Linked DNA regions of Cricetulus griseus. The protein of the gene in region 3 binds, or shares a complex with, the protein of the main gene of each other region. Links are inferred from orthologs where the notes say so. Each region holds a gene or a part of one and is shown on either strand. Other genes may lie near its edges. The genes, in order: Zbp1, interferon-inducible protein AIM2, Casp8 and Ripk1.

Region 1 (7,368 bases), on a different chromosome or scaffold from region 3:
GCAGCCACCTGTCACTCCAATTTCCCTCCTCTGGCCTCTGCTGCCACCGCATGTATGTGGTGTATACACACACTCACAGGCAAACACTTATAACACATAAAATACATAAATCTAAAAACAAAATAAAACAAAATCTGACCCTAGGCCATTCAATCTTTACCCTTAACTTTTTCAGCCTGACCCTAGATGGCCCGATCCTGATCTTTGACCTTCCTGACCTGAACTTTGAACTTCCCAACTTGACCCTAGGCCATCCGCCCTGACCCCTGACCTCCCCAAACTGACTTTGACCTCTCATACCTAGCTCTTGACCTCTCCGACTTGAGTCGTAGATCATCCATGTGTTCCCATCATAGCTCAGGAGGTGCCTGTTCCTCATGGCGTACAGGTGTGGGTTCACCTCTTTGGCTGTCTTCATCCCCAGAGCCTTGGCGATGTGCAGGGCCCTGTGAGGCCCGCTGGTCTCCAGGAATCTGATGATTCTTTCATCTGCAAGTGAGGGGCAGGCGTTCAGTAGGAAGAGGGCCCTGGGCTTGCGTCTGCCCAGCACCCACTGGCTGTAACCTGGGGCGCTTATGAAGCCCAGGGGCATGGTCTTGCTTTGTTTGAGGCCCATGCTCCTACTGGGTACAGTGTCACCTGGAGACCGGATATGTGCATGAAGCTGGCTCAGGCGTGTCAGCGCCTGGAAAATAAAGCACTTCTTATCCATTTGGAGCCTTTGGCTTCTGACACCGAGTCTGGCCTCTGAGATTCTTGCGAAGCCTCGGTGGTGGACATGATCCCAAACACCCTTTCCCCTTGTGCCCCTAAGAGTAGTTTGGGGAGGCCTTTGGTGTGCACTGAGCTGAAGGCCAGGACTCCCTGGAGTTGTGCCTACAACTTTAGGGTCTTGGGGCTGGAGGAAGAAAAATGTGTCCATTGGAGACAGGAGACGCTCTGATCCACTGAGCAACGGGAACACTTCCACAGGACAGCTAGGGGACAGGACATTAGGCTGGGGTCCCAGGGTTTCACATCTGCTTGGGTCACAGCTGCTGGCTGCAGAAGGGCAGGGTCTTGAGGCTGCCTCCTCTCCTGGCTCCAACTGCAGGAGTTGCTGAAGGCTAGGTGGCCTTGGGTACAGCATCAGCAATGGAGCTGTGAGCCCTCTCTGCTCAGTGGCTCCGAGTGAATCCCTACTGTCATTGTGACAATTGCCTGGATTGTGCCTTTACTATTGCTAGTGTCTACCTCACACCTACCACGTACAAGCCCTATTGGTGAAAAGAAATCAAAAGATAAAGAGAGGATGGCAGAGCTCAGATTTGAAAGCCAAGCCTGAACCTGGACTTGCCCATTGTCAAGATGGCCCTTGAGGGGAGTCTGCTGTGCCCCCAAATGACAGATTACCGAGGGTGGGCTGGGCAGTGGGGTCCTCAGGGATTGCAGGAGCCTCATCTCCAGGAGCATCCCTGCCTAAACACCATGTGGCAGGGGCTGGTGAGTGAACTTTTCCCTCCTTCTTTAGGCGGTAAAGGACTTGGTTGAGTGTTTTCTTGGGCACTTGGCACTCCTTTACCAGCTTGGGGAGCTTCACAGAGCCGCCGGCTCCACTCAGTATCTGTAGGATCGTTTGCTCCAGATTGTCTTGGGGGAGGAACAGAGAGAAGAGTCAAGCCCAGCCCCCATTGGAGGCTAGCACCCATCTCCAGAGGTAAGAAAGATACGAGAACCCAGAGCCGACAGCATCGAGGAATCACTGAGAGGCAAGAGTGTCAGACTGAGTGGACCCTGGCCCCATGGCTGAATGGTGGGATGCACTCATACGGCAGAGGAGTGTACATGCTGTCCTGTGTATTGGTGTGGAACCCCAGACAGGTAGGAGCCCTCAGCTCTCAGATGATGGAGCCAAGCCTGGCCCGGAAGCCCCTCCACGCTGCCTGGTGCCTCTTCCAGCCTGTATGGAGAGTCCCTTTCTCTCCATCTCCCATGGATGCCATGGGCATTCCTAGGTCTCCCTTCCCATTCCAGGTGGATCAGGAGCCCTGAAAACGCAGCTCAGATACCTCCCACTTACTTTTTTCTCCCTTACCCCAGCCTCAATGACATCTTCCTGGTAGCATTACTAGTCTCCCAGGTGACCACCAACTCCAGAATGGTTCCCTCCAGCACCCTCTACCTAGAGATCCGATGGACCTCTGCTCCCTGCCCAGCCTCCTCTGCGCCTGACCCCAAGAGCCACCCAAGTTCCACCTCGTGCTCCTTCTGGTTCCTTCCATCTGCCTGCTTCTACCTTCCTTTGTTTTTCCTCTTGAGACAAGGTCTCACCATATATCTCAGGCTGGCCTGGAACTCACAGCAATCCTCCTGCCTCAGCCACCCCCTCCCCTGCTGGGATTATAGGGCTGGGCTTCCACTCTGCTTGCTTTTTCTCTGCTGGGGCGTGTATGTCCTGCAGTGGGCTCTCCTGCCCTCCCTTCTCCCACTGACTCCTAAGGGCACACAGGCAGAGCTTTCTCCAAAGGGTGAGCATGAAGGAATGGATGGTGGTGACTGGCTGGCAAGGAGAGTATTAGGAAGCCACAGGGACCAGGTGAGGGTTAGTTTCTGGTCTTCTCCACCTGGCCCTGAACCTGCCACTGCCCTGGCTCCTCTGCCTTTGAGCAACATGCCCTAGCATGGTGCGAGAATGGAAAAGGGTGACTTTGGGGGCTGCAGAGATGGCTCAGGAGTTAAGAGCAGTGGCTGCCCTTCCAGAGGTGCTGAGTGTGGCTCCCGGGAACCACGGAGCGGCTCACAATCACCTAGAATGAGACCTGGTGCTTCTTTGACCAGAGCACAGCCGTGCATTCAGGCAAAACACTGTATACACAGTAAATAAGCATATCTTTAAAAAAAGTTTCGAAACAATGAAGAAAAGCAGTAAAGTAAATCCTGTCCACAGCTGCACGGCCCCGATAGCCTCGCCTCATACAGTCTTTCACCCACAGCCTCGCACTGCCCTGTAGCGGAGAGAAGAGCATGAACATAGAATCAGAGCCAAATCTTCTTATCAAAACAAAGTCCCCTCTCACAGTTCAGAGCCTGAAGCCCATCGAAGGCCTCAGTGACCTGTCTGTGAGGTGAGAGCTACCACTTGTGCCTGAGGGCTGTTAGGAACCAGCCTAAGCAAGGGTCAAAGTGTGACGCACAGGGTCCCCGAAGCAAGCTAGCTTCTTGTGGTGCCTGCTTCCTGAGCTCTGATGTCCTCAGAATATTGCTGCTGTCTGGGCCAAGCAAAGAATTAGAAGGAGCCTTAGAAACCAGCCCAGGGTCCACGCTGCGTGGGGGAAGGAAGAGGCTCGCCCGGCTTACCTCCTGTGCTCGGATCAACAGCAGCTTCTGCCATGCTCATGGCAACCTCAGGGCACCTTTGGGGCGGGGGGTGGCAGATTCCCGAACTGTGGCCAGGCCTGAGGCCGTGTCCACAGAAGAAGAGCGGCTTCTTGGAGCTGCAGACACCATATGTTTCCACCCCGGAAACGAGCACCCATCTGGCTCCATCCACCCAGCTTTCTGGAGAAAGAGAAAATGAAACTTGGTGGTTCTCGAAAGAAACGTTGAAATCAGGGTGGGGTGAGCAAGTTGGAGCTGAATAAATGACGGGGATGAGAGGAGTCTTGGCCTCTGGGGTGGGAACTGCCTATCTGGACTCCCACTAGGAAAAAGGTACCTACTGCGCATTCCCTACTTGCTGACAGGGCAGGACTAGTACTGTCATCCACATACCTTCTAGAAAAGGAGCCCCTCACTTTCATACATTCTCAAAGAGGTCAGTGGTCCTCGAACAGTTCGGACATCACTCTGTTCCAATTACAGACTAAGGGACTGAGCTCACAGAGATGGCCTCGTGCCCACAACTCAGCCTACAATAACCCTGAATCTGGGTCCCAGCTGCAGGAGGGAGGTCCTTGGCACCGGTTAGCATTAGTGCATAGGGCATGACAGGAGCAGGAAATGGAGACCAGAAGGAGGTATATATGTACCTGCAAAATGTCTGCAAAGCAAGCTGCAGGTCCCCAGTCAGCCTTGTCACTGGACAGGCCACGGCCAGGCCAGTTCCACACAGCCAGTTCCACCGGCCTGTGCATGGGGAAACTTTAAAATTTCCAAATGATTTTTATGACTTCCAGGGGGAAACCCAGAGCCTGCAGATGCAGCTAAGGGAAACAGAAAATTGTACAGCCCGTTGAGCCCCCCAAATAAATAAGGTCACCCTTTAAACACTCAGCTGAGCCAGTTGAGGGACATCAGGCTCCCTAGAGGGGCTATTTGGGGACCAACCACTAGGTGGTGCCCTCTCATCAACCGGCTCTTGCCTGGGGGTCTTGCTTGGTCCTTGGCCAAGGTGGCTCTGGCCCTAGAGGGCTGGGCTTCAGGACATGCCATGAGAACCTGACACTGGGGTTCTGCTGTGAACATCTCAGCATTCCCTATTCTTTATTGTTTTTAATTTTTGAGACAGGGTCCCACTCTGTAGCCAAGCCTGAATTCAGATTCTTGACCCCTCCATTATCATTTCTTGAGTGGCAGGACTGTATCACAATACCTCTTGGACAACCCCCCACCTCGTCCCCCCAGACAAGGTTTCACTGTGTAGCCCTGCCTATCCTGGAACTCGCTCTGTAGACCAGGTTGGCCTGGAACTCACCGAGATCCGCCTGCCTCTGCCTCCCGAGGGCTGGGATTAAAGGCGTGCTCCACCATTGCCTGGCCAAAATCCTTCTAAACTTTTGGATTATTTCTTATTCTTTGTCTTTGTTTAAGAAAAACCTCAAGCCAATTTTCAATGCTGGGATTATCCCAAGCCTCCACAGCTGTGGACTGGGCAGATGGACCTTTTCCCTCTTGTGCATGACACAAGACTCCAGGTACTCCAGATTTGGTGCAGCCACCCGGCTTCTTTTTAAACTGTTGCTCTGCCATTTGTAGCCTCTGTGCTTAAGTTTTTCAAGGGTTGCTGGAGTTCCACCTGTCACACATGCTCTCCTTCTGGCAGGAAGGAGCAAAGGACGGGTATCCTAGGCAGTTTCAGCAGGCAGCTGAGTACAGGGCCATCTGAGGGAGTCTCGGTTGCAGGGTTGCCCAGGTCTGATTGGCTGTGGATGTGTCTGTGAGAGAATTATCACGGTTGGTGTGAGAGGACCCAGAACACCGTGGGCAGCATCATTCCTAGGCTGTGAATAAAAAGCTGGTTGAGCATGAGCCAGGAAGCAACATCCTCAACGATCTTTGTTTCGGGTTCTCACAGCTCTTCTTTCTGAGATGGGCTGTGAACTGTACGCAGAAATAAACCCTTTCCTCTCCAGCTGGGTTTTGTTTGTTTCTGTCATAGTGTTTATCACAGCCGGAAAAACTCAACAAGCACCATGGACATCTCCCTTTAAAGATCACATCCTGCAGGCCCCAAACACTACTTCAGATCACAGCAATATCTATCGCAACAGATGTTGGCAGAGACCTAGGTGTCCTTGTCAACTCAAGGCTCTTCCTCTGCATGGAGGCCGTCTCCTGCCCCACCCAGCATTTCCCAGCTTCTTTCTCTAGCAGATGCTACTCTGAGTCTGATGGGGTTCAAGGCCAATGGGGAGGGAAGGAGGGAGGGAGGGAGGGAGGGAAGGAGGGAAGAAAGGAAAGAAAGCAGGTAGGTGCTTCCTCCTCCAGGCTAGGAAGGGCCCAGACATACAAATGGCATGCCAAGCTGCTCTCTTTATCCTGGAGAGCACGCTCCTTCCAAATGGCTCATGTTTTTCTAGAAACTATTAGAACTCTCCGCCCAAAGCAGGGGATAATTACATGTTACTGATCTCGAGTCTTCAGGTTTTGTGATCTCTCTTTTAAAAGAGAGATATTTTTACCACATATTGTGTTGGCAAAACCCACCTCCTTCCCTCCCCATAACCAGGCTCTGGAAGGAAGCAAGGAAGGAAGGAAGGAAGGAAGGAAGGAAGGAAGGAAGGAAGGAAGGAAGATAGGAAGAAAGGAAGGAAGGAAGAAAGGAAGAAAGGAAGGCAGGCTGCAAACTTTGTTTGGTCAGAGGTCAGACATAGCTGGTGACAGCAAGGGGATAGTTTATGGCAGGTGTGTTGGGGTGATGAGCCCCCTCTTCAAATCCCTGGGGGTGGGCGTCCTGCAAGACAGAGCAATCAGTGGGTCTCAGTGTTACTCTGTCCACTGGAGGCTAGCACGCTTGGGCATCTCTTCTCAGCCCGGGCCTTGAACACGGCCCTGATCTTTATGCGTGTTAGTTTCCCTTTGGCAGTGGGATACCACAGTTCTTAACCCAGTACTGGCTGCATCCGAGGTTCCTTCAGAGAGCTCAGGACATGGTACAGGCTGCTTGCTTTTTGTCACTGCCCCCAGCTGCCTCTCTGATTTGGCCAGACACTAGCCAGCAAGCCCCAAGATCTCCAGATTGTGCCAACCCTACCGCTGGAGTGCTGGAGCTGTAGACATTTGGCTTTTATGTGGGGATTGGGGACTTGAACTCAGGTCTTTATGCTTGTACAGTGGACACTTTACAACTGAGCCATCTCCACAGGCCCCAGAAAGACTGTTAAAGAAAAATTATTTTACAGATTATCTGCCCACAAGAGATTCACTTAGTCAAAGCTGGCCATGGTTTCCTCGCCAAGTATCACTCTTGGGAATGCTTACTGGGTGAGACTATTTCGCCATAAATTCTCTTCAACTATAGCGAAGTATCATGAAATTTTCATGACAACTAAATGGGACGATTAATGAATTTGACATGATGCTTTGGTTTCCAGATGGTTAATTAAACATTTACTATGGTGTTTTTTTCTTTGTCTCCATGGTTTGAGGCCCAAACTCTTCCCTCTCTTTTATACTCAGACTCTGACCTGCGGGTGCTGTGGGTGTTGCATTCTCAGTCACTAACTTGGGCACCTAGTAGGCACACAGCCAGCCAGCACGGCTGTCCTTGGCTGGGCTAGGCCTGCCTCTACCTTGGTGTTTGTGGCTCTCTGAATGATCCAGAGGCTCACGGGGCACCTGGTCACAAGGTGCTGATAAAGGTGGTTGATGTGTGGGGTGGAGGACGAGCTCTTTAGGCTCCTCCTAGATTCTCTCTGTAAGGAAACTTGAAGGTGGGCAGCCAAGTGCTCCTGGTCCAGCAGGAAGAAACCACAGCAGTTACCAAAGGACTGAGCTGTTCAGTAACCCTGAGCTGAGGCCCAATGGCAGCTGGGCCTTCTGCCTCTATACTGACTGGTGGTTTTAAACCCTGGGCCTTGGAGATGGTTCCATGTAAAAGTAAACTGTTTCTGTACTAGGTACTGTGTGTGCATGCGATAAAACCACCTTAGAGTTCTTTTAGGGGGGCTG
Region 2 (7,447 bases), on a different chromosome or scaffold from region 3:
CTACATCTTCTGTCTTAAGAGGGGAATGGATTTTTCTTTTTCCCTGAGGTGATTTTCATCCTTGCTCTATCCTTTCTTTCATCTCTTCTTAATGCCTCTGAGACCTTGCTCTGATCTCTGGGCTTTAGTTTTGCTTTAGTTTTTGTTGACTTTCATCCTTCAAATTAGTACACATACTGTCTGTCTAAGATGTACACACACACACACACACACACACACCTGCCACCACCATATTAAAAACGAACTTCTCTTTCTGCCACCCACCCAGTATGTGCTGACCTACCTTTCCCTAAGAGCTATATTTTGATTAACTACAGTCTCCATAAGCCAGAACCTTTCCCCTGGCACTCATCCATTGTTCCCATTCATTTGTGAAGCAACTCTCACTAAGGTAAGAAAAAAGCAACTTGATAGCCAAATCCAGTCCTGTTTTGTTCCCTCTCTCTCTCTCTCTCTCTCTCTCTCTCTCTCTCTCTCTCTCTCTCTCTCTCTCTCTCTCTCTTGCAACTTTTAAAAGACATATCCAGGACACTCTGTGGCAGAGAGAATAAGGATGGCCCCCATAGGCTCATCTATTCTAATGCTTACTCATCGGGAAGGATTAGGAGGTCTTGTTGGAGAAGGTATGTCACTGGGAGTAAGGTTTGAGGTTTCAAAAGCCCAAGCCAGGCCCATTGGCACTCTCTTCCTGTTGCTTGCAGATGTAGATATAGAACTCTAAGCTACTTCTCCAGCACCATGTATGCCTGCATGCCACCATGCTCCCAGCCGTGGCAATAATGAACTAATCCCTGAAACTGTAAGCCAGCTCCAATGAAATGTTTTGTTCTATATGAGTTGCCATAGTCATGGTGTCTCTTCATCCGAATAGAACACGGATGAAAACACTTCCCCCGCCCCCCATATTTTAGCATTTTCTCCTAGTAGCATCCAAAGACACAATTTCAGTCTTACTACTGTTTGTGACCATGGAAATCTAGAAGTGCAGGTCTCTTAAGGCAGAATTGGTTACTTTATTGGCTTTACTGGATCTTTTACTGCCAGTTTTGAGGCTGTAGTTCTGAGTTCTACTAATACAGTCTCTTCCCTTTGTCTGGCAGGTCAGTTTCCCTCCTCCACTTTCATCGCTTTATGTGATATGATTTTCTGTCTTTTCCATCTTGCTGTCTGATGATATTATTAATCTAGTTCCTTATACTTGGGATATTTCCTCAGCTTTGACTGGAATTCCTTCCGGTCTCTTATATAATTGCATTTATCATGCATTCTAAGATCCACAGTAGATGTTTGAAATCACATGCAACAAAGAATTATATTTTGTCCTATTCCTACAACCAATGAGGTAAAGTTTAATGCATAAACTTGGTATAATAAGAGATTACCAACAACCATTAATCATAAAGTAGAATAATGAAAACAATGCAGTTAGTAATAACATAAGACAACTGTATGGTCCAGAGAATGAGCTGTGATAAATGCATTTTCAGTTTTGAATGAGTAAGTTATTAAATACATAAAAGTAAAAATAAAATAAAAAACAACAGTGAGGTGGTAAAGCATCATCCAAATGGAAAGTCAAGACACTAAGCAGATATAGGCTGGGGAAGCCCCTTTAGGGCAGTCATTTGAAGTTTCCAATAAAGAGAGTCCTGGGCAAAGCAGAACTTCAGTGAGGTTTCCAAATAAGGAACAAATAGTGCCAGTAAGAGAAAACTTCATCAAACCGGATGCTTAGAACACCCAGCAGAAATCAACCCAGGAAGTTAAGGCAGCTAACTTTCTCTCCATGGCTGAACGTCTGGATTCTCTTTCATTTGGTTGACCCTTAAATGTCATGGATAAAAATCTGTTGGAAATACTTGACCTGGTTGTTTTTAAGAACACCACATTTTTATTCTTGGGCTGTTTTGTCCTCCCTGTCACACTGAGTTGGAGGCGGGAGACTAGATACACCCAGATAAGAAACCTTTGAGACAAACATGCTGGGGTCTAAAGTGGCAGGAGAACAACCCCACTTTCAGAGCCAGCCTAGCAGGGAGTTCAAATCAAGCCTGGCATTTCCCAAATGTGTGCATTGGCCTGGTTTTGTCTCTTAGACTGTGAACTGCCTAGTGTTAACAGGAAACAAAAGAAGAGGTTTTGGCTTACATGAAGTTCCCAGTATCTAAAATATCTCTGGCTGAGATCTCACGGCAGTAGGAGAAATGCTGCAGAGGCTTGTTGGAAAAAGGAAACTGAAAACATGTGCTTGTTTGGGCACAGCCTCAAGATGTCATAACTATCGTGCCTCCTATCAGCAGGGCTCGGAACTCAGCTACACGGCCAGGGCTAGGGAAGTTTCTAAGTGAAAGGAACCAATCACACTTTCCACTTTCCATCTCTCAAGACCTGATTTTCATGTCCTACCACTAGCAGTGAAAAGCTTTGTGAGGGAGAGCTTTAAACTATTAGGGCATATACTAATCCCTGAGTTGAGAACTGAGGCTGCTGTGGAGAGGGAATCCAGTAGGTAAGCCTTGTCAGAATTTTTCTAGAAAAAGCTTTAGGATCCTTTTGCTAATAGCAAATTAAGAGGAAATGGAAGTTGTAGGTTTCTGGGGTTGGAAAGGAGCATCAGTATTGACTATGCTCCAGAAAAGAATAAAGCTGCAGGAAGCCTGGTTCTAAACCTTCGCTTGACTGAGGAATAGAAGCTTTTTTTTTTTATTATTATTATTATTTCACCACAACTGAGCCTTTAACAAAAGAACATGCAGTTGGCTGTGGCAGGAATTAGAATATATTGTTCAGAGGGTTGACCCAGACTGCGCCTAAAAAGGAACTCTGATTTTCTGGGAGCCTTGGTCTGTAGGTGTCTTACTGACATGAATTTAATTTATATTTGGAAGAGGGCCTTTGATTTCTAGCTGAAGGAGAAAGAAACATAGGGACTGGAGAGCTATTCCTAGATAAAAGATAGTAACAATGGTGTGGCAGAATGCCTATGATGTAACATTAGCTTGAAAGTGGCAGAGCACCAAACTCTATTATAAGTAACCTTACCATTTAAGAAAAGCCAAGTATAGCCCAGAGGTGGTGGCCCACGCCTTTAATCCCAGCACTTGGGAGGCAGAGGCAGGTGGATGTCTGCAAGTCTGTTGCCAGCCTGGTCTACATATAGTAAGTTCCAGGACAGACTCCAAAGCTACACAGAGAAGCCCTGTCTTGAAAAACCAAAACAAACAAACAAACAAACAAACAACAAAAACAAAACAAAAAAGAAATGCTAAACAGATAACATATTCCATAATCTCAGATGTTCAAGTGGCATGGCATTTATTATTTTTTAAAAATTATGTATGCTTTTTAATTTCTATTTCTTTTAGTTTATTAAGTATGAGAAACAATTTTTAAGTTTCTATAATTTAAATTGTATCTTATTTTTCCTTTTCATAGTAAATTCCTAGAATTTAGAAAGCGATGATTCATATGATAACTATGTTGTTTGAATATACAACTGGCGGTTCGGAAGGTTCTGGTAGTGTTAGGAGGTGGAACTTTCTGAAGAAACCTTATTGGATGAAGTGTACCACTGGGACAGGCTGTCTCACTCTTCCGCTATTTCCTGTATGAGCAAGAACTGAAATTGGCCAGATTCATGCCCTACGTGGCGACCAACCATAATGCCTTCCCTGTCGGCTGCTACGCCTTCCCTGTGGTGTTGAAATCCACGCTCCTGGGACTGTGAGTAAAAATAAACCCACTCCTTCCCTGTGTTGCTTTTGGCTGTCACATTTTATTAGAATACAAAGGAAAACAGTTCGCTGATAACCTTTGTAGACTTATTGAAAATGTGCTAAGTACTTCTAAGTATTTATCAGGACATTATGTTGTTCAACTTTTCTACTTTTTTGCTTTTTTTGGCTATGTGAAACTTTAGTTACTGAAGGAAGTGTTTTGTAATTTCCAACTATCAGAGTAGGTTTGTCATTTGTTCGTGGAGAACTGTCAAGTTTTGCTTAGAGCTGTTAATTTTAACAATGAGGTGCATACGTGCTTAGAATTTCTATGTTGCCTTGGTGACTTTAATGTTTAATCATTGTATAGCAGCTCTGTCCTTAATGACACTATTTGTCTTATTATCTTCTCTGACGAATATTAATATAACTGACCTAACTGTTTTTTTTTTTTTGTGCTTAGTGTCTGACTCATACATATGCTCACATTCTTTGCTTTCCTGTTATTCAGTATTATAATACCCTCAGTGTGTCTTTTGTAAACACCATAATGCCTACAGTGGGTTTTAATCCACCTAGCATTCTTTTTAAAGCTGGGAGTCTAATTTCTGTGAATTCTGTCCTTTGAAATGCTTGGATTTTTGTGTGACCGTCTTTCCTATGGTATTTCCCATCCATGTTTGCTTTCTTCTTTTTAAAAAATATGCTCAAGAGTATTTACGCAGTGATGTGTATTATGCTGGTCATGTTTTCATAAGTCCCATGTTATAAATTTTGTGGGGACAAGTCATTTTTCATTAGTCAAGAATAATGCCTTTTTCATAGGTGTGGACTTTGGGAGCCCAATCCACATAGAGGAATTCTCCCTGAGCCAAGACCCACAGGGGTGGGCCTAGGCCCTATCCCAAAGGATATGGAACGCCTCACCCTCCTGGGGAGGAGAAAGGATATGAGATAGGTAGGGTTTTGGTTGGGGGGATGGTAGGGGAGGAGGGGAGGGAGAGGAAACTGGGATTGACATGTAAAACAATCTTGTTTCTAATTAAAAAAAAGAATAATGCCTTTTTGAGATAGCTTTTGGAGAAATCATGTAAGATCAAGTTTACTACTTCAGTGAAGTGAACTTGCATACAGTTAGCTAAAGGGAACAATCCAGTTCCGTTAGTACTGTGTACCTTCCCCTGAATCTAGAAACACTGCTTCTATTCATCTCTGTAATTCATAGGTTGCTTCAATGTTACCTTCTCAAAGAGACGTAGTGTGACCACCTAATCTGAGTCTTACCACATACCCCCAGCCCACATCCTTATTGCATACTATCTACTATGTAAATTTACACTTTTCAGAATAATAATGAAGAAATCTTACCTGATTGGTGACTGATTTCCTCAAAGACTTGCAAGGTGCCTGACTGGACAGAATGAGCTGATGTGTGAACAACTGCTTGATTTACTAGTTTATTTCATAAGTGCTGATTTTTTTTTTTGTATTTCTTTAGAAAGGAATTTTAGATGGTTTTGCACCGTAGGGGTTGGCTGTTTAGTCACAGACAAGTTTGCAAGGAAAGTAGCGCAGAGTGAAGGTCCTTAGGGATACTCCCATGAAGCAACTGTATGTTCTGGGCGTGGGGGAAGCGTGGCCCATCCTGCTGCAGTGGGTCTCAAAGGAGGGCATATTGGCATAGGCATGGCACTGTGTGGCTTATAGAGCTCTATCTGCCATGCTGCTTATTAAATCCTCACATTTATCTCCTATTATCTACATTTAACTGATGGGGAACCAACCCCATCAGATAAATACAAATCAGGCAGTGTCAGAGCACATTACTCTCCTGGCTTGGTGCCACATTTTTTTTTTTTTTTTTTTTTTTTTACTGGAGTGCTTTTCTAAATTAAATCTGGACACCCACCTGTTAGCTGTGGGTTTTAGAGATTCTTAAGAAGGTGATTAAGAAGAGACTCTTAAGCAACGGCAAGCAGTGACCTGAAGTGGAGCAGCTCATCGTGAGGACAGGCTTTAGGCATCTGCCGTCCATCTAGAATCTAACGGGAAGGAATGGACATTTGCTGCAAGACTTTCCTAAGAAGGAGACAAATTCTGACATTTAAGTCTCTTGCAGTTTCTTGCTCTCCCCATAGCATGATAAATATAAACTTCAAACTATAATAATAGCATATGTTGAGCACACCAGGTGTCAGGGATGCTTCATGGATTGCCTGCTTATGAAATCAGTCACATCTCACGTGGAGTCTATGCAGTAGGGACTGTCAGGCAGGGCTTCATCAAAGAACTAGAAAACGCCTTTGATTCCCATCTTAGAGCTAGAAAAGGAAAGACATGGAATTCTAACCCAAGTATTCTCTGTACCAGGAAAGTAGAGACCAATAGAAATATAAACAAGTACATACATTTAACTTTTCTTTTTTTTTCTATTAGTTCAAATTAAGAACAAGCTTGTTTCACATGTCAATCCCTTCTTCTTCTCCCCCCCCCCAACATCCCAGCTGCCCCTAGCCATCCCCCCATCTCTCCCCAGGCAGGGTAAGGCCCTCAAAAGGGCTCCCCAACATTTAACTTTTCTAGTAGCTACATTAAAAACAAAAACAAATAACATCAACCCAATATGTTTGATTAACATCAAAAGTACCCAAAATGTGTCCTATGTCTTCAAAACTCTGGTGTGTATTCTGTTCTCAGAGTTCATCAATTCTGATGATAAATTTTCATCTATATTTAAATTTATATTTATATATACTCAAAATTCACAAAATTTACAGTTAAAAAGTAAGCTTATATATTCAAGTAATTTTAATCATACTGATTTTCTAGAAACTGAATTTAGTTTATGTTTTAATTAAAATTAAATGCAATATAAAATTCAGTCCTCTCAGCTGCACACTTAAAATGTTTGAGAACCACGTGAAGCTACTGTAAGCAAAGCAAGGTACTCTGGATTCAAGCCTGTTTTCTATTTGTTTATTAATTGATTTATTGATTAATTTCTGAAGTGCATTGTGTGATATGTGTATTCATGTGTGTGTGTGTGTGTGTTTATGTGTGTGTGTGTGTGTGTGTGTGTGTGAGTGTGTGTGTGTGTGTGTGTGTGTGTGTGTGTGTGTGTGTGTGTGTGTGTGTGTGTGTATGCTAGAGGTCAAGGTTTCGTGTCTTCCTTAATTGCTCTCCATCTTATTTTTTGAGGCAGGGTCTCTTCTGAACCTGGAGTTCAATGATTTAGTTAGGAATGCTAGCCAGAGAAGTCCAGGGATCTACCCATCTCTGCCTTCCCAGGTCTGGAACTGCAATGTGTTATGCATGCCCAGCTTTTAACTTGGGTGCTGGGAATCCAAATTCATCTCCTCACACGTGAATGCCAGGCAGGTTACTGACAAAATCACCTTCCCCAAGCCCTGTAATTCACACTCTACTTCAGTTACAGAAGAAAAGCACTCTCATCTCCTGCCCCAACTGCCCAGTCCTGGAGCAGTTTCTTTCCACCCCATAATATCAGCACTATCTCTTCATATTCTGTTTTAACACACAACTATGTGACCCTGCACAGATCCTAATGTCTTCTTGGAGAGAGGTGAAACGTTTTGCAAAAGAAAACAAAAACAAACTGCAGATAAGAAAAGTCAAGATGAGAGAGAGGAATATATATATATATATATATATATATATATATATATACCTCCCAGAGGAAAACAGTAGCCAGAACAGATTTTTCTACCAGA
Region 3 (6,900 bases):
GACCAGGATTCTTAGAAGGGAATCAGTTCTGATGTGCACTGTGGAGAACATGATTCCCCCAAATCATCTCCCCTGGATCTTGATTTTATAACAGCCTAAGAGCAGCATGATTGTTTTAGCTGAAGTTAGTTGGAAGACAAAGGTGATGGGACTTTGCTCAGAGTGGGCTGGTTGGCTTGACTCGGTAGATTTTCATCACTATCCAGCCTTTTCCTGAGGTTCACCAGTCAGGCATAGTTGGCTGTTTTAAGGAGGCCCTGGGAGTGGGGCCTGCGGTTAACTCTGTGCAGCGATGGGAATGATCTAGGGCGTGTTTCTAAAGTGTCTCCATTTCCTACCACAGGGTCATGCTCTTTAAGCTCTCAGAAGAAGTGACCAAGTCAGAATTGAAATCTTTTAAGTTTTTTTTGAATGAAGAGATTCCTAAATGTAAGCTGTATGATGATAACTCGGTAAGACCTGGTATGTCCTTGAGATGGGTCACCACTGGTGGATCTGAGATCAGAGGGGACTGTTCTGCCAACAACAAACTGTATTCAAGGTTGTTTCCACTTGTTTGTTTGTGCTTTCATTTGTTTGTTTGAGACATGGTATCATTAGCCCAGGTTGAACCCAAACCTGCAATATAGCCAAGGATGGCCTTAAACTTCTGGTCTTCCTGTCTTCACCTCTTGGGTGAGGGATTACTGGCATGTGGCACCACTCTCAGTTTCTGTGGTTCCAGGATGGAATTCAACAGCTTTTGCATGATAGGCAAGCACTCTACCAGCTGAGCTATACCTTAGTCCCCATGTTCTCACTTCTTACCTGGGGAAAGTAAAGTAGTGAGGCAGGGTAGTAGTTATTTATGGCTTTGATGCCTTGACACTGTAAAGTGCTACTACTCAGCCATGGGGCAGACCCAGGAGACAGAGTAGGCAAGTTGGGCAGTGCCACAATACATGGGACCAAGCAGGGCCAGGGAGGAAATGCAGCCTGGGGTCACATCTTCCTCACCTCTGCTGCTTTTGAAATGTCACGTTTGCTTGTTTGTTTGTTCCCCCAGTGTGTGGTATGTGTCTTTATGAGTAGGTTGTATGATGTATGTGTCTGTGTCTACATGCTGTGTATATTGTGTGTGTGCTTCTTTTTTCTTCTAATACATTATTTAATATCTTACTATGTTACCTCTCTCTAATATACTCAGTGCCTCAGTGACAATAATGTCATCCAGGCCCCCACAGGAACTACAGTGGGGAAATGAATACACAGTTTGCCTATAATAAGCCCACTCCAACTTCCCTTCTGTTTTTAGGTTTCCTTTTTATTAATTTTTTTACATTCCAATCCCAGTTCCCTCTCCTTCCTCTCCTCCCGGGCACCTCCCATCTGCTCCTCAGACAGGGTAAGGCCTCCCCTAGGAAGTCTACTAAGTCTGTCTCATCATCTCACTGAGGTGGGATCAAGGCACCACCTACCCGCTTCCCTGTGTCTAGGTTAAGCAAGGAATCTCTCCATATAGAACGGCTCTACTAAGTCAGTTTGTACATTAGAGTTAGATCTTGGATCACTGCCAGTGGCCTCATATACTGTCCCAGTCACACCATTGTCAGGGAGTCTAGTTCAGTCTTATGCAGGTTCCCCATTTGTCAGACCTGAATCAGTGATCTCTCACTAGCTCGGGTCAGCTGATTCTGTGGGTTTCCCCATCATGGTCTTGACTCCTTTGTTCATATTATAGCTCCTCCCTCACTCGAGGAGCTTGGCCCAATGGTTAGTTGTGGATTTCTGCATCTGCTTCCATCTGTTTCTGGAAGAGGGTTCTAGCTTCTCTGGCGTTGTGGATTGTAGGCTGGGTATCTTTTGCTTTATGTCTGGTATCCACTTATGAGTGAGTACACACTACATTTGTCTTTCTGGGTCTGGGTTACCTCACTCAGGATTATTTCATACCATTGAGTAGTACTCCATTGTGTAAATGTACCACCTTTTCTTTATCCATTCTTCAGTTGAGAGACATCTATGTTGTTTCCAAGATCTGGCTATTATGAATAAGGTTGCTATGAACGTGTGTGTGTGTGTTGTGTGTGTGTGTGTGTGTGTGTGTGTGTGTGTGTGTGTGTGTGTGTGTGTTTGTGTTTGTGTGTGCTTCTTATGTATATGTGTGGCATATGTACCTGTGTGTGTGGTGTATACCTCTGCGTCTCTGTTGGTCTGAGTCTACCTATGTGTAGTACATATGTGTATGGGTTTCTCCCCACCCCACCCCCCGGTGTGTGTGTGTGTGTGTGTGTGTGTGTGTGTGTGTGTGTGTGTGTGTGTGCTTTTGTGTGCTGTGTGGTGTATTGTAATTCTGATGTTTGCTTTGTCCAAGTGTATCTTTGTACATTTGTTTAGTGTGGGTGCATACGAGCGCACATGAACACGTGTGTACATGCTCATGGCCTCTCTGTGTGTGTTTGGTGCCCTGCACATGTCTCTCTCTCTGTATGTGCATTCGCTGAGGTTTAGAGGTGGATAAGGCAATGCCAGAGTATAATGCAGTCTCCAGGGCTGTTCTTCCCACACTCCTCCAGGCTGGTCCATAGATGAAGGCTTCCACAGATAGTTTGGGAACAAGGCCTGGGGACTGGTGACATCTGACATGGCTTCTCTTTTTTTTCTATGTTTTTATCCTTTTAGGCCAGAAAACACAGAATGGCCTTCCTGATTACTGTCAACTTTGAGGGATCAGTATGTGCTCAGGGGTGGGAGGGCGATCTCTGTGGGAAATAAGACTGGGCTCTTGCTTTGGAAGAAGTGGAATTAAGGAAACAAAAACCTAGTTCCCAGGCCTGAGCACTCAATCCATTTGTCCCTTGCTCTCTCCTCCCCAGAGCCTGCTTGATATTTTTGTGGAAATGGAGAAGAGAGTCATCCTGAGGGAAGAAAACTTGGATGCCCTGAAATCAATCTGTGCCCAGGTCAACAAGAGCCTGCTGGAGAAGATTGAGGCTTATGAAAAATCAAGCAGAGGTAGACAGCTGATGGTTATGAGGCGGCAAAGCCTCCAGAGCCACAGCTGTTTCTGATCTAGCTCTTCCTTTTGAATGCAGGGAGAATGAGCCTTGAAGGAGGGGCAGAGTCGCCAGTTTCAGTTTTAGATGGTAAGACTTCCAGATTCATTTCTTTGATGCCGAGGCACTTAATTCCCTCTTACTCTCTTCCCACCACCTTCTGCCATAGCCTAATATCAGGATGAAAGTTTGGTGGTCACTTGTCACCCCTGCGGCTCTCTGGGAGATAAAAAGAATTTGCAAAAGCCCTATGGGAACATTTGAAATGAGCACAGTTATTCTACAAGTGGGTCTTAAATCTGTTCTGGCTGTGTCTTCTTTTCCTTTGAGATGTGGGTAGCTAGATTCAAATAATTTTCCAGAATATTCTTGTGTTTTGATTTGTTTGAGACAGCCTTGGCTGTCTTGGAACTCTCTACGTAGACTAGGCTGTCCTTGAAATCACAGAAACTGGCCTGCCTCAAGTGCTAGGGTGAAAGGCATGTGCCATATCACACCTGACTTTTTTTTCCCAGAACATTCTTGATCAAAGCTTTTGGCTTTGGGAGAGGCCCTTTGGCCAAGTGTTCATAGTTCTTCTCTGTTAAGTCCAGGCTCCCACTGCCCCTGAATTCCTCCACCATGTGGCTGCCCCAGCCTGGGATGCTCCAGCCATATTCCCTGCCTTGACTACTGAGCTGTCTCTCCAGCCCCCTCCAAATTTTTTATTAATCAAATATTCTGACTATAAAAATCATATGTGTTCCCTTGGGGGTGATTCTTAATTTTAGAGAAAATGTGAACAGCACCACCAGTCTGTAAACATTAATACTGGTAATAGCCTTCTTATGTTTTCACTATTGTTTTTGCTGTGTAATACATTTTGGAGCACTCTGCTTATTTACTTTAAGTTCACATGTAAGTGCATGTGGGTGAGTGAGTTTATGCACTCCACATTTATGCAGAAGCCTGGCTATGTCAGAAGGCAGCATCAGATCCCCTGGAAATGGAGTTGCGGTGCTTGTGACTGTGAGTGCTTGGAATCTCTGGCCCTCTGCAAAGAGTGACAAGCTCTCTTCCACTCAAGGATCACCCTCCTTTAGAAATGAGGCCAAGTACCAGCCAGTTCTTCCCTCTATTCATGCCTACCTGAGCCCAGCAATTTCCGAGTACCTTTGGAAAGTTTGAGTCAGGGACTGACTCATACTGACCTCTTGCTTTGATCAGACCCACCGCACAAACAAGGCAGTTTGCACTTGGGTTTCCAGAAGCATGCTAAATGCCCTTCCTACAAGATCTACACATATGAAATATCCTCAAGGCAGTTTCAATGATTATTTTTAAAAGGACCGGCCTGTGGGGGCCGGTGACTTACATTAGTAGGTAAAAGTGCTACTTTCAGGCCCAGTGAAAGGGGAAGGAGGGAACCAACTCCTCAAAGTCCTCTTTGATCCCCACACATGAGTGCTCCCTACATCAGGCATGTGTGCGTGAATGTTCATATGCATGCATGCATGCACGCAAGTATGTTGACATGAAATGTTTTAAGGTCCTTAGGTTGTCCCAAGCGTTACATATTTCTTTACCGCCAAGCCCCTCATTCTGGATACTTTTCTTGGTTGCTTGCAGGGGAGAGTTACTTCAGAATGCAGGAAACGTGGGACTCCCAAAGAGAACAAGACAGCGACTCACAGGTACACCTCCTTGCTCTCTCTGCATGGAAGTTTCTGTCTCTTGTGTTTGTTAGCTCCTTTTAAGCTTCCAGATAAGCTAATAAGGGGGTGGAGCCTTTTGGAAATTTTGAGAACTCTGAGGAAGAAAAACCTACAAAAGAACCAGTTTTTTTTTTTTTTTTTTGGTGTTAAATTATGTATCACTATTATCTCTGTTCAGTTTGTTTGTATTCTGAGACCGGGTCTCCTATAGCTCAGACTGGCCTTGAACTCATTATGTACCTGAGGATGACCTTGAACTCCTGATTTCCCTGACTTTACTTCCCAAGTGCTGGGATTATAGGTATGGGTCACCACATAGGCTCTAATTTTATTATAAGGCACAGGAATTGTTGGAAGGTAGAAAGTGTGTGAGGCCTCCCTCTTGTTCTAGCAGCTGTGTCAGCTAAAATGAGTGCTTGTGGGGGAGGGGGTGAGGCTTCGAGAACAATGGCTGCTTTGGTGGGGGTGGGGTGGGGTGGGGGAGTTGCTCTAGCAGGCTTCTCTTTTAGCCTGACATTGCAGAGGGATCCCCCCTTTGTGTTAGGCAACAAACAGGATCTCAGCAAGTCTTAGTTTTCATCTCAGGGAAGCCTGTAGAAAGATTTCCTTCCTAGACGTAGCTTCTATTTATAGTCTTCAATAATTCACCGATTACAGTTCAGCCCATTAGCCTCCTCCCCGTGGCAGGAAGCACGAAGCGTCTGGACACTTTGAGAAAGGATATGCACTAGGGTGGCCTTCTGAGAAGATTCTCAGGCCTTGTTCTCAGGTCCAGAAATCAAGAATTAGTCAACATCATATGTTACTTTGAGATGGTCTGGCACTCTACAGTATTGTCCTCTCCAAACAGCTAAATATATCATGTGAATATCTTATTAACTGCCTGTATTACAATATCCCAATAAATCTACTTAATATAAATAGGAGATACTTAGGATAATAACAAATACTGAATATACCCTGTGTTTAATAAAGTACCTTATGTCACAGAAAACATTGAAAAGTGAAGGATTTGTACAATATGAAGAGGAGCTCAGTGTGCTATAAATTGTTAAACACTAGATTAGCTAAATTGCCCAGAGTCCTAAGGTTTTAAGCCTTAGAAGCTGGCTTTTGTCCCCTAGTCTTGGGTTCTTTTCTGTATACTTCAGGAGACAGCACGGACTTCCAACTAAATACTGGGACTCTCAGCTTGAAACAGCCCTAAGAGAAAAACAAGTATTCAGGCCCTCTGGTGTTTACTGTCAGGATTCCATAAACACAACTTGAGTAGTTCCTTGCTCTCCACCTGCTGCCCAGTTCCTTTGCAGTGGCTTAAGGCATCAGCTTTAACCAGAGAGACTGCACTATATCATGTGCGAAGGGCAAGTCCCTCGCTGTTAGCCAAGAAAGGCAGATGAGCTGAGTAGACCCCAGAAAGATTGCCAAGGTCATGGAGGGCCGTCCCAAGAGGTCACCGTTGAGTGAACTCTTAAAGTCCCACATGTTATCTGGCCTGAAGCTCTTCTGGATGCTGAGGGAAGCTGAAGCAAGCACAGTGGTAACAAACTGTGATAATATCAGGGATGTATGTGACATCTGGGGCACTTAGCAGGCCCAGGTCCCCTTACTGTACAGCTCATGAGAGGCTGTGCAATCGGAGGAGCAGAAAGTAGCTTTTCAACAAGATGACCCCAAATCTGGCTGGAGTAACGGAAGGAAGCAATGCTTCCCAGGGGAGCTAGGCAGGGGTCTAGCCTCTTCCTGGGCAGTTGTTACTTACAGGCTGGTATCTGAGCTACAGCGTCAGCTCCCCAGACTCGGCTTTTGTTTTCCAGGTATCACACAGAATTTACCAAATGAAGAGCAAACCTCGGGGATACTGTCTGATCATCAACAATAATGATTTCAGTGAGGCGAGGAAGAACATACCCAGATTCCACAAAATGAAGGACAGAAAAGGAACAAACTACGATGAAGGTACAGCCAAATCCAAAGAAGAGGCATGAATAATTTTTAATTCCTGTGGTGCTTTTAAAAAGAAGAGACAATAGTCCTAAAGGGCCCTATATTTTGAGAAATGGAGTCATGGTTCAAGAAAATCTATCAAGCATTTATTTTTATTCATTTTATTACTATTTCCTTGTGGAGGTAAAAGAACATTCTTACATATCTGTTCTGAGTTTTGTAAT
Region 4 (7,683 bases), on a different chromosome or scaffold from region 3:
CATGTGGTGTATTTACATACATGCAGGCAAACACTCATACACATAAATCTTTTAGAATCCTAAAAATTAAAGACCACCTCTTGAAAGTATCTTCCATACCAGGTAGTCCTCCAAGGCAGCAGCAATTCAGATGACTACAGATTTATCATCAGTAATAGAACCAGAGGCAGATAAAACAGTAAGGAAATGAAATTATTGGAAAATAACATAATCCAACTGGATCCAACTGACACTTACTGAACACTCTACCCAGCAAAACAGAGTGTACATGGTGTCCAGGGACATGTGGAACATTCATCCTGAATCACAGCCATTTAGAATTGGAATTATACAAAATATGTTCTACTTAATATAAAACTAAACTAGAAACCAATTAAAAGATAATGGAAGCCTGGATGGTGGTACACACCTTTAATCTTAGAACCCAGGATGCAGAAGCAGGTGAATCTCTGAGTTCAAGATCAGCCAGGTCTACATAGTAAGACCCTGTCCTAAGAGGAAAAAACAAAAAACAAACAAAAACAAAACAAAAAACAAAAACTACATACTAGGAAAATAAACAACATACTTATGAATGAATTATGTGTCAAATAAGAGATTTGACTGAGTAAAAGAAAATATATGAAAACATCTGAGATGTGGGAAAAGGAAGACTAAAAGGAAGTTACAGCATTAAAATGTTTTTATTAGAAAAGGAAGTCTTAAAACAATAAACTATAACCCAGGACTAACAAGTAAAGGAAAGGAAAGGGCCACCACAAACAGAAGGAAATAATAAAGACAGTAGAAGTCATCAGGCAGTGGTGGCGCACACCTTTAATCCCAGCACTCAGGAGGCAGAAGCAGGCAGATTTCTGAGTTTGAGGAGAGCCTGGTTTACAGAGATAGTTCCATGACAGCCAGGGCTACACAAAGAAATCCTGTCTCACAAAAACAAACAAAAAAGATAGTACAAGTCAATGAACCTGAAAATAGAAGAGAAAATGAAACCCTAACTTAAGAGATCAGCAACTTTGTTAAATCCCTAGAAAGACAAAGCAAAAAAAGGAGAAGAGAGGGATATCAATTTAATAGTACCTCCTTATTCGTGGGGTATACATCTCAAGTAGCCTAGTTAATGCTTGATACCTCAGGTAGTACAGAACTATTCTCTCTCTCTCTCTCAAGTTAACTGATTGTTAAGTTAGGTCTAGTTAGATGTTAACAGTAATAAAACCTGACAACACATCGTAAAGGCACATCATCAGCTCCTCTAATTCTGAGCTCTCAAGTTTTAAGAATGAACCATTACCAGCAACATGAGGTCTTCAGCTTATAGACCCACATGACACTTTTCAGTCTCTATAATTCATAGTCTTGTTACCCCAAAAAAAGAAAAACAAAATCTTCTCCCATCTTCCTATCCTCATTGCTTTACATCTTTTTGGTTCTGCATCTGTGGAGTAGAAAGAGCAGTGCATGCCATGACAGGTATGCATGGGACTGTAGTCAGATGAAATAGTTTCAGTCTGTAAACAAAAAAGAAAGAAAGAAAGAAAATTCCTTATGCTTTACTTGTATATCATTTCCCTGCAAACTCTTGACAACCACTGGCTTTGTAGAATCTCCAAAGATTTCCCTCATTGAGGATGTCATATTTGAAATCACATTGTGTAGTTTTTTTTTTTTTTTAAGATTGATTTCTTACTTAGGAATATACAAAAAACAAACAAACAAAAAAACAAAAACACTGAATTCTTTCATTCTAGAATTCATTCTAGTGCCAAATAGTATTCCATTTACTATAGCTATTGAAAAGTAACTCATTTGCTTTCAAGTTTTGGCAATTATGAAAAGCTGCCACAAAAATTCAGACACAGAACTGGGAGAGATGGTTCAGTGGTTGTTCTTACAGAGGACTTGGATTTCAGTCTCAGCAGTCACATGGTGACTTAGTCATCCCTAACTCCAGTTCCAGGGGGTCCAATGCCCTCCTCTGACCTCCCTGGGCACTCAAGTGGTGCACAAACATGCAATCAAGATACGAAAACATATAAAATAAACATTTAAAAAATTAATCCAGATACAGGGGCTGGAGATATGAGTCAGCTGTTAAAAGCACATACTGCTCTTACAGTAGACCCCTTTAGTTCCCAGACCCTCATTGGACAGCTCACCTGTAACTCCGGCTCCAGGGGACCTGATGCCTCCCGGAGAATCTGACTCAGGTATGCACACTCAAAAACATAAAAAAGTCTTAGAGCAAAATCAAACACACAACTTGAGTACAGGGACCTGGGGAATACAGCTCAGGGCTCCTTCAGCAAGCAGGCAAACATAATGGATCTGAATTCAAATCCCTGGAACCTGTGTTAAAAAAAAAAAAAAAAAAAAAAAAAAAACCCTGGCCATGGTGACACTCATGATGCCAAGACCAGAGATGCAAAGACAGGCAGGTTCTTGAGGCTCACTAACCAGAATACTTAGCCTACTACACAAACGAAAGGTAAGTGAGTCCTTTCCTGTTTTAAAAAAAAAAAAAAAAAAAAAAAAAAAAAAAAAAAAAAAAGAGGTGTGTACTTAGAGGGAGATACTGGAGGTAGTCTTCTGGCCTTCACATATGCGCACTTTTGCACACACACCCTCAAGCCCCTCCAAATAAACAACAAAAAAGCTCAACCTAGGTACATGTGTTTGTTCATCAAATTTATGTTCACTTGGGTACATGCCAGTGTGTGAAACTGCTAAGTCACACAGTAACCGTAAAGGTAACATTCTGTATTCCTTCCATTTGTGAATGTTGGGCATTTTATGTTTACTTTGAGTCAAAGGTGAGTTTCCCATAATGCCCTATGACATTGAACATCTTTTTAATGTTATCTGCATGTTTAGGTTTCTGTTAAAATGGTTGTGAATTTTCTTAAGATGGTGGTTGTGTGCATGCATTAGTAAGACTTCTTTATCATGTCTTTTGTAATCCTCTCTCTTTCCACTAATTATCTTTTGAGAATAAGTGATCATTGCATTATCGTGCAACTTAATGACACCAGTAATAACACTTTTTGTTTTTTTTGGCCTTGAGATTTCACAATTACCATTTCAGAGGGCTACAAAATAATCACATTTCGTCCTCCACAGCCCGCCGTGGCAGATGAAGGCTCATTTGCCAGCTCTCAATCGCCACTGTCGCACTCGGTGTTTTCCAGCTGGCCAGGGTGACTCAGCCCTGACAGAGCAGCTAGGAGCACCTCTTTTCAAGGGCTCTCTCAGAACGAGCCGAAAAGCAAAGCAGAACTGGCATCGTTTCCGCGGGCAGGCCTCCGGGATCGACGTGGGAACCGTCGTGATCGGCGGAACTCACTGCCCAGCGGGCCCTGCCGCACTCACCGCCCCGGGGCGTGAGCAGAGGCGGAGACAGAGGCGGACGCAGCCTAGCGCCGCCCCACCCAGCGAAGCTCCGGTGTAGGAGGACGAGCGGACCCGGAGAGGCGTCGCGAGCGCGGGTGTCGGTGCCGCTCACCTCGCGGGGGTCGCAGGGCCGCGCGGGCGCTCAGAGAAGCGCGGTGTCCGGTGAGCCTGGGCGCGGCTGGGCGCCACTCCTGCACCGAGCTCGGTCCCTGCGTCCTCCGCACGGCCCAGGAGCCGTCCTGGCTGGGCAGCCACGGCGAGGCGCAGCTCCTGTCGCCCCTGCCCTCGGGTCGGTGTGCTCACCTGGGCCGGAGTGCCTGGCCGCGGAAAAGGAAAGTAACTCTGAGGTAAGGCAGCGCGGAGGCCGCGGCAGGGTCCGCCGCTCATTTCCTCCGCAGCTGGCTTCCCGGAAGGGGCGGCGACCGCGGGATTCCAGCGCGTGGGCCGGAGGGCGGGCCTCGTTTTCCGGAAGCGGGTGATGGGCGGGGCCGCCAGCATACCCGGAAGTCGAAAGGCGCGGGAGTTGCTGGGTGTCATCTAGCGGGAGGTTGAACTCTTTTTGAGGTGGTTTTAGCTCAAGTCGCGACAGAAAGTGGACATCTGCGCCGTGACCACGGTTGTGGAGTGACAGTGCGACAGGTGTTTCTCTTTCACTATTCTTTTGGTAGGGGTGATGGGTTATGGAAGCGTTAGTGCTCTAACAAGGTTGCCTAAATGTTTTGGACCTGCCAACCACGTTGTACTTCGGCCGCAGGGGGTTGCAGAGCTATGGGTAGCTTTCATCATTATCTCAGAGGTGAGCTAGCAAATGAGGAGCGATCCACGTCCTCAGTGAGAGAACAGTGTCAAACGTCCAAGGCTCCTCTGGTCCTCAGTGGCGTTTGCTTTTGTGGATTGCTGCAGCCCCCTCTGGGTTCTGAAGAAGATAAGCCACATCCTCTCCACCGGTGTTGGACAGAGCCTCCTGGGGTTGGATGGTTCGGTCCAGGGTGGCTCATTCTTTGCCTCTTGTAGGTCATTTTGATTTCCTTGCTCATTTATTTGGGGCAGAGTGAGGCTGTTTTAATCAGGAAATTCCACAAAAGTCCTTCAATCTTTAGAAAGCTATTAATTCTTTCTTAGCTCATGAAAACTCAATGGCAGTGTGAACTTTGAGATGTAATGATTTAGTCGTGTAATTTTGTACCCACTGGGAAGACACCACTAAGGCTTTGCTGTATATAAAAAATGAAGACTAGTTTTGTTTAAAATGAAACTTATTTTGTTTTATTACTGAAAAGTAGCAGTAACAGTTACCAACTTTAATTTTCATTTTTCTCTTTCTTTCCTGTTTTGAGCCTTGTACATAATGTTAAGTTTTCATGACTGTTGCAAACTGGGAATGGTTCTACTACTTATTAGTTCATAACATGTTAATATCACCAGTAGAATCTTGGAATTGAATCAAAAAGTATAGTTTCCCACACTTTGGTTGGATATTATTCTGGCATATGTGTCTTACTGTGAAGACATGGATAATATTAATTTTGTGTGTTTTGTTTTTCAAGACAGGGGTTTCTCTGTGTAGCCCTCGCTATCCTGGTTCTCCCTCTGTAAACCAGGTTGGCCTCAAACTTAGAACTCTGAGATCCATCCACCTGCCTCTGTCTCTCAGTCCTGGGATTAAAGGTGTGCACCACCACGCCAGCTGAGACAGGGTTTCTTTATGTAATTCTTATTATTCTAAAGCTAACTATGTAGAAGACCAGACTGGCTTTGAATTCCCAGAAATCTGCCTGCCTCTGCCTCCTTAGTGCTGGTATTAAAGGCATGTATCACTGTGCCTGGCAACAATTCGGTCTTTGCATCTGAGGTTTGATCTACATCTGGGGTTTTCAAATTTTTATTTGACTTTCTAGAAAGCAGCATGTATTAGAGAACTGAGAGTGGAAGTCTGAGAAGGGTAAGGTTTGAATCCATTCATTTCAGGTGAATCACTTAACCTCAACTTGTAGTTTCTTTATTTGTAAGGTGAAAATAGTCCTAATAAGATTAGTTCACGGGTCACAGTGTGCTAATGTATTTGATCATGCTTCATTGAATTTTATTCTAACTTTGTCTTTTGTTGATGGTTTGATTCCTTGTTCATTGCCCTGCTTGTGGACGAAGCACAGACTGTTTTAATTAAAGAATCCTGGAGATGGCTCCTGATCGTGTCACATACCTGAGTAAAGTCAGAATTCTGTTAGGGAAGACATGGGAAACAATACTCAATTGATATTCTCTCATTCCCTGATTCTCTGTCCTCCTGCTCTTATTATATATGATTGTCATTGCAAATTTAAGAGAAAATTAATTGGGTTTAAAGGGAGTCCAGCCATTGGGGGGGGGTTTGTATACACACACACACACACACACACACACACACACACACACACACACATTTCCTGAGGTAAGGTCTCACTGTGTAGTCCTAACTGACCTTGAATTCACTAAGTAAGCTTGAACTCAAATAGTGTATATTTACTATTTATATAATTTATAAATAGTACTATATTTATAATATAGTAAATAAATAAATACTATATATTTTCAAATGTAATACTATTTAATATATATATATATATATATATATATATATCCTATTTCTGCATTAATAATCATTTATCCCAAAACACTAGCAAATCCCATTGAAAAGGACATGGTATTAGTTGAAATTAGTTATGGCTTTCTATAACAGGTCAACATACCTTAGTTAATTTTTAAAGCACTGATTATCTGGCTTTCTACCTTACATTCAGTGTTTTTGCAGTCCTTGGGTCTTCCTCAGTACACTGCCCACATGGCTTTCTCAAAATACACTGCTTATAAGTTGACTGGGGCTCATCAGCACAGCACTTGACTGGCATGTGTGTGGCCCTGGGTTCTGTCTCCAGCCTGCCAGAAAACAGCAGCATAAACTTGAATCATTCAAGGGGAAAAAAATAAAAGCACGAAAGAAATAATTGAATATCCACCAAAGGAGGATTTGTGCTAAGATCAGACTAGACTAATAAAGCACAAGACTAGAGGAAAAACTGGCTTAGATCCAGAACCATGTTCCCAAAGCATAGTAGAGGCCTTCCCTAGCCCCGCCTTCTTCCCTAGCTCCACCTTCCCTAGCCCTGCCTTTTCCCTAGCTCCACCTTCCCTAGCTCTGCCTTCTTCCCTAGTTCCACACCACTGGAGGCTCTAGAGAGAAATTTCAGGAGGCCTGGCTAGGTAGGAGAGATAAGCCAGTGAGAACTATAAAGGTGAAATCATTACACTTGAATTGGCATATTTTGGGACATGGTTGTAGTTTATTTGCTGTGAGCGTGTGTGTGTGTGTGTGTGTGTGTGTGTGTGTGTGTGTGTGTGTGTGTGTGTGAATTTTTCTAGATAGGGTTTTTCTAGTTCTGACTGTCCTGGAACTCACTATGTAGACCAGGCAGGCCTGGAACTCATAGATCAGCCTCTTGAGTGCTGGAAATAAAGGCATGCACCACCACCATCCAGCAAGAATTTTGCATGGTTTATTTACCAATTTATTTCTTTTTTCTTTCTTTCTTTCTTTTTTTAAGCCTACAGCACCCAGTATTCTTAGGCAGTTCCTTTTTGTGTGTTCTTAAACATTCTTTTTTTCCCATGTGTATGTGTGTTTTACCTACATATATGTATGTGCACCACATGTGTGCTTGGTAACTGTGAAGGCTCAGATCCCCTACAAGTAGAGTTTCAGTGGTTGTGAACTGCCACATGGATGCTGAGAATCAAAACGAGGTCCTCTGCAAAAACAGCAAGCACCCTTACCAAATAAGTCATCTCTCCTCAAACATCTCTTTTTGCTTTTTTTCTTTCTGAGACAGGATCTCACTGTGTATCTCTGACTGGTCTGGAGCTCACTAAGCTTGAACTCAAATGGAATTAAAGAGTATACCACCCACACCCATAAAACATTTTCCTCCTGCCTCACATTTGAAAGATGTTAGCTGTATTTCAGAGCATGATGAGTTAGTTCTAACAGCTCTTTTGTGCATACAAATTGCTGTATATGCCTTTGCTGCTCTGTGTAACATTACTAGGAATATAATTTCTCAGTGTCTCAGGTTTGATTCCTCAAAATAAACAGCTACTGAGTTAAGGTGTGATTCTTTCAAAATATAATTTTGTTATGAATGCAATTTGTGTTTATTCTAGAAAATGTAATATAAAAAAGTATAAAGAAGAGCTACTAGCATGGTGAGCTACAGTTATAATCCCAGCACTCCAGAAGCTGCGGCAAGAGGATCACAAATC

The links.
Region 1: Casp8 (region 3) and Zbp1 share a complex: the UniProt entries of both Homo sapiens proteins name them as parts of the AIM2 PANoptosome complex. The link is inferred for Cricetulus griseus from reciprocal best matches to the Homo sapiens genes CASP8 and ZBP1.
Region 2: Casp8 (region 3) and interferon-inducible protein AIM2 share a complex: the UniProt entries of both Homo sapiens proteins name them as parts of the AIM2 PANoptosome complex. The link is inferred for Cricetulus griseus from reciprocal best matches to the Homo sapiens genes CASP8 and AIM2.
Region 4: Casp8 (region 3) and Ripk1 share a complex: the UniProt entries of both Homo sapiens proteins name them as parts of the AIM2 PANoptosome complex. The link is inferred for Cricetulus griseus from reciprocal best matches to the Homo sapiens genes CASP8 and RIPK1.

Annotation. Positions count from the first base shown.
Region 1 is NC_048599.1:6,096,561-6,103,928, reverse strand, and holds the start of Zbp1 (Z-DNA-binding protein 1), read right to left. Parts: upstream 3,883-7,368; 5' UTR 3,751-3,882; intron 3,538-3,750; 5' UTR 3,377-3,537; coding exon 3,337-3,376; intron 1,630-3,336; coding exon 1,393-1,629; intron 490-1,392; coding exon 301-489; intron 1-300.
Region 2 is NC_048598.1:19,570,985-19,578,431, reverse strand, and holds the start of interferon-inducible protein AIM2, read left to right. Parts: upstream 1-3,574; 5' UTR 3,575-3,723; intron 3,724-4,655; exon of another isoform or gene 4,656-4,674; intron 4,675-7,447. UniProt on the Homo sapiens protein: Sensor component of the AIM2 inflammasome, which mediates inflammasome activation in response to the presence of double-stranded DNA (dsDNA) in the cytosol, leading to subsequent pyroptosis.
Region 3 is NC_048595.1:413,126,356-413,133,255, forward strand, and holds part of Casp8 (caspase-8), read left to right. Parts: intron 1-343; coding exon 344-452; intron 453-2,855; coding exon 2,856-2,994; intron 2,995-3,074; coding exon 3,075-3,125; intron 3,126-4,643; coding exon 4,644-4,708; intron 4,709-6,546; coding exon 6,547-6,688; intron 6,689-6,900. UniProt on the Homo sapiens protein: Thiol protease that plays a key role in programmed cell death by acting as a molecular switch for apoptosis, necroptosis and pyroptosis, and is required to prevent tissue damage during embryonic development and adulthood.
Region 4 is NC_048596.1:253,840,518-253,848,200, forward strand, and holds the start of Ripk1 (receptor-interacting serine/threonine-protein kinase 1), read left to right. Parts: upstream 1-3,596; 5' UTR 3,597-3,734; intron 3,735-3,871; exon of another isoform or gene 3,872-4,026; intron 4,027-7,613; exon of another isoform or gene 7,614-7,683. UniProt on the Homo sapiens protein: Serine-threonine kinase which is a key regulator of TNF-mediated apoptosis, necroptosis and inflammatory pathways.